2 linked regions of the Xenopus tropicalis genome follow. The protein of the gene in region 1 binds, or shares a complex with, the protein of each later gene. Links are inferred from orthologs where the notes say so. Each region holds a gene or a part of one and is shown on either strand. Other genes may lie near its edges.

Evidence for each region. Proteins that work in one complex are often made in the same cells at the same time.
Region 2: the proteins of vdac2 (region 1) and tomm5 are in contact, whole or in part, in a cryo-EM structure (PDB 9EII), measured with the Homo sapiens proteins. The link is inferred for Xenopus tropicalis from reciprocal best matches to the Homo sapiens genes VDAC2 and TOMM5. Residues at the interface, in NP_001171752.1 of Homo sapiens: Val38, Thr60, Gly63, Asp239, Tyr258, Gln260, Thr261, Leu262, Leu268, Leu270, Val286, Leu288; in NP_001001790.1 of Homo sapiens: Ile25, Arg29, Leu32, Ile33, Ala36, Arg39, Val40, Phe43, Ile44, Lys47.

Annotation. Positions count from the first base shown.
Region 1 is NC_030683.2:54,956,495-54,960,688, reverse strand, and holds the start of vdac2 (voltage-dependent anion-selective channel protein 2), read left to right. Parts: upstream 1-1,305; 5' UTR 1,306-1,322; intron 1,323-4,194. UniProt on the Homo sapiens protein: Non-selective voltage-gated ion channel that mediates the transport of anions and cations through the mitochondrion outer membrane and plasma membrane.
Region 2 is NC_030677.2:108,996,851-109,000,701, forward strand, and holds tomm5 (mitochondrial import receptor subunit TOM5 homolog), read left to right. Parts: upstream 1-1,287; 5' UTR 1,288-1,806; coding exon 1,807-1,927; intron 1,928-3,026; coding exon 3,027-3,061; 3' UTR 3,062-3,341; downstream 3,342-3,851.

The DNA.
Region 1 (4,194 bases):
ATATAGCTTACTTAGTTTTTACATTTCTTTCTCCTTTAACAAAATTCATATTCACTGTATTCATTTTGGGGTCTCTATGTCCCACCTAGGAGCAGTAACTGATAGCAACCAATAAGATGTTTGCTTTTAAACAGGTGACCAGTGACACCACCAGCGGCGCTTCTGCCATTAAGCGAGTTGAGAAACTCGCCTCAGGCGGCAGAAGCGCCCCAGTTACCAGGGGCGGCAAAAAGCCGCTCCTGGTAACTTTAAGAGCTGAATTTCCAGGTTTTTAAACACACTCTCTGCACTAGCGATCTCACCGCCCCCGGACCCGCTCCTGCGCTCAGAAGGTAAGCGCTGGGGAGCGGGGGCGGCATCCAGGAGCCGCCTCAGGCGGCGATATGTCCAGAATCGCCCCTGGACACCACCACCCCCTCACCCAGGTTAGTCAGGTTAGCGGGGTTAGTCAGAGCAGGTGTGCATGTATGTATTAGCTCACTGTAGTAACATAGGCTGACAAAAAAGACACACGCCCATTGAGTTCAACCTTTAATGCCAATATAAAACCGGACCAGATAAATATGTTTTTGCTAAAACGTTCTTAACAAAGACAGATGCATTTTTTGCATAGCTCATTTTACATGACGTACAAACAACAACATACCAATCACAAATATGACAAACAATTACAGACATTCTCGAAGAAACACACACTATTAGAAAATGAAGCGTTCTCAAGTATACAGACCTCAGCACAATGGAATTGGTCACCTCTGAATATACAGATAGTGAGGGAATGCTCATGTTACAGAGTTGGTGAACTGGATAAAAAAATGACGACAAGTAGAAATTATTTTTTCTGGAAATATCAGAGGTTTATTCTACCACTACAACTGTACTTGCTGAATTTATGACGTACGTAGTAAAAAATAACAATAAAAACCCAAACTTTACGCCACCCACCGGTTCCTCCTTTAAGGTCACCCAGAGAAGCTATGCGCATGCGTCAGTCCATCCCATGCCCTCTACAATACCAAGGGCGGTAAATGAGGGTGCTTACTGTGCCTGTTCCAAATAACGCTCACGTTTTCATCATGTCGTCATTACCACTAATACATCCTTAACATTTCTAATGCTAACAAGTTTGTTTAAAAACTAAAAGCTAAAAGCTATATGTATATGTCAGGGACCGTAACCGTACAAAGGCGCAGGCAAAACCTAGGAAGACTAAAAGGCGGAGTGCTTAGGCGGGGCTTGCTGCTGACAGCCTCAGTGTCTCCTTCACTTCGCCCTCCAGTCGCACGCACCGCACACGACAGGCCGTGTAACCCACTTCTCAGGTATTTGAACTTGCAAAAGGATCAGACTTTTAACTTAATTTATAGAGATACTGCACATACACCCAAATACGATCTTGGCTGTTGGGGACGCTCGATGTTTTTGGCAATAATTAAATGATTGCAGCGTGAGAAGAACAATTTACTGGCGGCGTGGGTATAATTGGGTCTGGAGATCAAGCAAGTTACAAGGGAAGGGAATTTTAGAAAACAGATAATGTGAGGTACTATCAGTAAGTGCCTGTAAAATGCCGATAATGTGCCGAAACGACTAATAGATGCGATATTTGTTATTCTTATGGCTAAAAATGCTCTTTATTTTGTTTATTCGTGTGAGGAGTATTTAAACGAATTAATGGCCTTAAAATGTAAGTCTGCATGTCTATTTTGCAGAATAATTTATTTACTATTTAAATTGATATCCATGGGAGCTGCCGTGCTAAAGCCATTACTGAATGAATTTAATATTTTCTGCAAAACAAATTACCTGGGTCCAAAATTATTTCCTCCTGATATTAACTCTTTATTCAGGGTGATACTTCTGTTTTACTCACCAACAGGCCTAGACTGTCATTCTGTGAATTTTGTTAAATGCCAGAGGGACTGCAGCAAGATGCCATAGAGTAGGGGTACCCAGACTTTGGGGTATATTTATCATGCTGTGCAAAAAGTGGATTAAAACATCACCGGTGATGTTGTATATAGCAGCCAATCAGATGCTTTGATTTGATTTTCTAACTGTTAAACTCTAATTGCTGATTGGTTGCTCTGGGTAAGATCACCAGTAATGCTTTACTCCACTTTTTACACAACATGATAAACATACCCCTTAGTCACCCTGTGATCTACACTTGCCACCTGGCCTCCATCATGAGATCTACCACAGTTAAAATAGGGCGACGTCTATCATTTGGCGCAACAGGCAAGAAAAAGTATCAATTGGTGTTTAACAAATATACACAGAAATATATAAATGCAGTGACAAATTCACATTTAATGCCCACATAATATTATTCAAGTGCCAACTTCAAGTTTAATTTGAAAGGATTGTAGTAGTTTTTACTTCCTTTCTTCGTGGCCCACTTTGTTGGCTGCACACAGAAACAAATATAAAGTGGGAACAAATATATACAGCGGCCTGGTGGGGACAATCTTCTATACTGGGATGAAACAACAAAGACGAATAGCTTGAGCAGTTGCACTCAAAAGTATGATGGGGGGGGGGGGGAAAGAAGTGGCGGGATGTCATCCCACTGTATTCCACCTTGAGGTATACCAAATACTTAAAATTGATCTACCGCGATCTACCTTTTGGGCACCCCCGCCATAGACAGTCACTATCTAATGGGCTGGTGGAAGGCTGTTTGGGCCTCTCAGAACTTGAAATGCCACAGCAATTTTTAAATCCAAGTCCAGACCTGCACACCAAAAAATATGTAGTTGGAACTGTGAATGTATGTCTCTTAATCCGCCAGATCAATTATTTTGGTCAGATGACGTTACCTTTCATGCTGCCCTTGTTTCCTCTTGAACAATGATTATATGAATTTTTTGTGCCATTGGTGTAACCAATCCCCCAATTTGGTAACCACCGCAGTAGATACAAATGTACGTTGTATTAAATACGTAGATCCTGACTTCTGCAAGGACATCATCCTTAAATCACTAGTCGGTAAAATGACCACATTTTACTATTCATAGCTGTCAGTGTAATGTCTCATGTACATGCTTTAGTAAGCATGTAAGTTTTTTTTAGTTGACGTTTTAATGTACTTTACAATATTAATTAATTTGGTCCAATCGTATTTTTCTTATTAAATTACCTATAGATACATCTTGCAGATATGATTTCCAGATCATACAGTTTTGGGAATAGTGCACATAGTTTAATGTCATTTTAATTTGGTATAATAGCTAATTTACTAGTATGCTTCAGTTTATATTGCAATACCTAAATAATTAAATGCTCGCTTGAGTACCATCTAAGATCTTGATGGGAGTCTATGAATCAGAGTTCAGAAACTATGCAACATGTTAATATATTTTGTAGTCCACCTTATTGAAAGGACAAGGAAAGATTAAATAATCCCAGTGTATAAAGTTGTTACCTCTTTTTAAGAACATTTTTTTTTTTTTTTTTTTTTTTTACTGAACAGGACCAGCAGTAGAATTATCAAACTCCTAAAGTGGCGCATCTCCATCTCTGTAGTATTTCCAACTCTCTTGTGTTTTTTCTCAGGCCTTTGGGTTTTTTCATGGACACTTAAAGGACAAGGAAAGGCAAAGTCACTTGGGGGTGCCCCAAGTGACTTAAATCGCCTACCTTTTACCCTGGGCTGGTGCCCCTGTTCGGAGAGAACAGCTCCAGCCCGGGGTAGCTGCAGCGCTTCCTCCTTCGCGCATGCATGTGCAATAGAGTGAAAAGCTGAACGTTAACATAAAAGTCTGCTTTTCACTCTACTGCGCATGCACCGGTCGTGGGGTCCCGGCAAAACGAAGCAGGAAGGAGGAAGCGCTCGCTACAGGTACTGGTGCTGTTTTCTCCTAACAGGGGCACCAGCACGGGGTACAAGGTAAGCGATTAAAGTCACTTGGGGGTGCCTAACATTTTGGCACCCTCAAGTGACTTAGCTTTTCCTTGTCCTTTTAAGAAAACATTTCCTATAGTTCTCATGTACAAGTCTAGATGACTGCATGGAAGCCTTGTTAAATTTTACAAAGATGACTTCGCTTAGTGAGTAAGATACAGGAATAGTGCAATTTTACTGAACTAGGGGACTCTTCTGGGGGTAAAAAAGTTTATGATTTGATACACTGGGGGGAGGGGGGTGCTTAACATATTGGCACTTTCCTAATGTACCAACCCTTCCTTGCT
Region 2 (3,851 bases), on another chromosome or scaffold:
TGGGAGCACTCCAAGGCTAAATAGAGTATACAATTACAATGGAAGTGTGACTGATCTGGCCAAATTACTACAAGCATACAAAAAAGAGAGGGGGGATTGATCAATGCACATTTCCTGGTCCCCTGTTTCATAAGTAAATTATCTATGCTAGTGCATATATTTACAAAAACAGGGGTTTTTAGTTACAAAATTATGATCATAAGATTGGTAAGCCACCATACCACATCAAGGTAAACCCCGTATGGTGGTCCTATCTATTTACCTCTGGTCATATTTTTCAAAGGCTGGCACTCCCGTGCACTGTTGCCATTCTTGACCTGGGGGCTGGTTTGAGCCAGAAGGTTTAGTCAACCCTCTTGTCTTCAGCTTTTATAGAGAGAGATTGCCAAGATCGCAGCAGTGGTTCTACAGGCGAAGGAGAAGATGTTGCATGTTTCCAGGTTGGGTGCATAATACAAGCAACAGTGTATGGATTATAAGTGAAGTTCCGATTGAACTTGACTTGGTGATCGCACGTTGAACTGAAACGAAAAGCCACCTACTCATTTGATAATGCGCATGAGCCCCTTATTGTTATTTATGGTGTAATTACTTTTACAACCAATTTTGCTGAGAACTCAAACATGAATAAGATACCGGATAATAATGGGTGAGATCTATGTGTACATCTAATTGACAGAGTAAACATTGTTTGATGGACATCCGGAACTAATGGTATAAGAAATTGAATGAATTAATATATGCACCATAGGATATTTCACCACCTGGGCAAATGGTTTTATTTTGAATGAATTGTTTCATTACTGGATATGAAATCCTTGATAATATTTTTTTTATATTTTTAATATGTTTAATAAATGAATTGTTTTTTATTACTGATTATGTTCTCCACCAATGAATTTATTGAAAATCTGACAATTGAATGCGGCTTAGTGGCGCTGTTCTTACAAATTTATTGAAGTGCAATTAAGTAGCCTGACGCTACCACTTTAAGTGGTTTAATTGAGTCTGTGAAGGCAGGAATGCTCAGAGAAAGTGTGTTGGCCCAACAAATAAAGAACAAAGTGTCAGAATTGTTTTAAGCTTCCAGACCACAAAATAATCCAGCTATCCTACTGTCAATTTATAAAGTTGTATGAAAATATTACTTTGACACAACTTCAACCACATTTCTCACTTTGCCATGGTTATAAAGATCAGCACTGACTTTAACCAAAATATCATTGGCATTTGTCTGTCAGACGTGGACAAATCACATTTCACGTTAGTTCTTTTAGGAGAACAGAGAACTTTTTGGGTGGCACATAAGATCAATTGTCCATATTTTCCTACTTCTACTAATATAATACGATTTGTGTTACTTTTTACACAAAATGCATAGGCAATTCCAACACTAAGGAAATGGCAAAGTGTAATTAAGTAGTAAACCTTAAGTCTCAAAGCTTTAGATAAATATGAGTGTGTAAGGTCAGACAGATATAAGCATAATAATGAATATTCGTGCATTTTTGAGTGTCCGCCCTACAGCACTATTGTTTTTAGACCAGTCCACAGTCCCCACACGAAACAATTCGTTTTGCTATGCTTGTAACTACATCACGAAAATAAACTTCGCAAGAATATTGACCCTCGGCGGTGCCCGTATGACGCGTATTTCGTGCGCCTATACGATTTGTCATTTTCCGGGATTTCAACGAGTGACCTCCAGCTAGTGCGACCCCTATTTCCGGGGATGCGCATGTTGTATCCAGTCCTGCAATATTCCTATACCTGCATCTGATCGCTCTTGTGCTTTTCCATCACACGATGTTCCGTCTGGAAACCCTTGGGTCGAAGTGTGATCCAGAGGAGCTGAGGAAAAAGATGCGGCAAGACGTGCTGACCTCAGTTCGAAATTTTCTTATATACATAGCAGTTCTGAGAATCAGTGAGTAAGGGTGGCGGGATGTTAGCATGCTGCTTGCGTCTGACGTTTACTTTAGCGCTTGGCAGAAAATATATAAATCAGTTTACATTTTACCAAGGAAAGAGCTCTTTTGTGTATCATAACCAAATGGTTTATATTGGCACTGAGAGTGGTTTTATAGGGCCCTTATACTATACACTGTATGTCCTAGATACATGTCCTATGCCTTACACAGGGTGTGGCATAAGGTAAAGCCCCAGGTACTGGGTCAGAGGTTAAAAGCAGGTACTGGTCAATGTGGTGGAACTGTGTATCAGGATGCATGTGCAGTCCCCTAGTCCCACATAGGTCCATAACTTGAGCATTAAGTGTAAGGACCTGTATCACTTATTTTTATTATCACTGGAATTTTTTTATTCGCCATCCCTTGCAGCTTAGATTTATTTATATATATATATATATATATATATATATATATATATATATATATATATATATATATATAGGTATCGGACCCCTTATCCGGAAACCCGTTATCCAGAAAGCTCCGAATTACGGAAAGACCGTCTCTCATAGACTCCATTTTAATCAAATAATTCAGAATTTTAAAACTGATTTCCTTTTTTTCTGTAGTAATAAAACTTTACCTTGTAATTGATCCCAACTAAGATATAAATAATCCTTATTGGATGCAAAACAATTCTATTGGGGTTAAATAATGTTTTATTGATTTTTTAGTAGACTTAAGGTATGGAGATCCAAATTACGGAAAGACCCCTTTTCCGGAATACCCTTGGTCCCGAGCATTCTGGATTATGGGTCCTATACCTGTGTGTATATATTATTTTAATAAAAACATTTAATATCAATTATGAAAACAAGGGTTTGTTCTACTTACAATTATCAGCTCTATAATGTTATAGTATTATAATATGCATAGTGCAGTTATATGCTTTGCTGCATATGTCAGCCATATAAAACTAATACTGCTAATTTAGTGAAGGCTATACTGCTTTGTCAACCCTTCTGTATCTTCTTTGTACTAAGGGTGTTAAGGTAACATGAGATTCCCTGCAGAGAAATTGATTTCGATTTTATTTTCTTTAATCCATATCTACAGCTCCATTTGTCTTGAAGAAACTGGACAGTATATGAAACAATGAACTGAAGAGCTCCACAAATGAAGCTTATTGAAGAGTGGGACCTGCCTGGACAACAACAAATTATGGATAGTGTTTTACAAAAAGTGAACTTAATATATTTTTCACATCCATTAGACTGAGGTTTTTCCAGCTTTTGTTTTGCCTGTGACTGTTTGAGAACTGACCATTCTTTTTATGTAGAATGTTACTGGCTTTTGTCAAAAAAGAAACTTAAAAGTGTACATGGGCTGTTATGTAAGATGAACTAAGTAGTAAAGTTTTTTTTTCACAGACTTGTCATGAATGTGTGAGCTAATTGTGAAAGTCAAAAGGGTACTAAAGGCTGCTATTTTTGCAACTTACACTTTTTTTTAACCTTTTCTGAAAAGAGAGGATTCAAAACAATCCTGTCTTCTGCAACAGTTTAATATTGACAATTCAGAAGTTGATTCTCTTTGCAGGTAGTCTCTATAATTGGAAGCCTCCGGCATAGGGAGCCCTCCTAGCATTATCTTTGCACATTGCTTTCTTTAGCAGGAACAGAACTGTGGAATGACCACATTCTATCCCAGGGCCGCCATCAGTGGGGTACAGGGGGGACAATCGTCCCGGGCCCCGTGAGTTTTGGCTCTTAAGGGGGGCCCGGCTCTACTGCACTCACCTTTATGGGAATGGGTAAGAGAAAGTCTTTGGCAGAAAAATATGGTGATTGGGAAAAACAGAAAGGGAGAGTATGTAGAGAAAAACAAAGAAGTGAGGAAAGGTGGGTGATCCACTAGCAGAGATGACAGTGTGAAATAAGG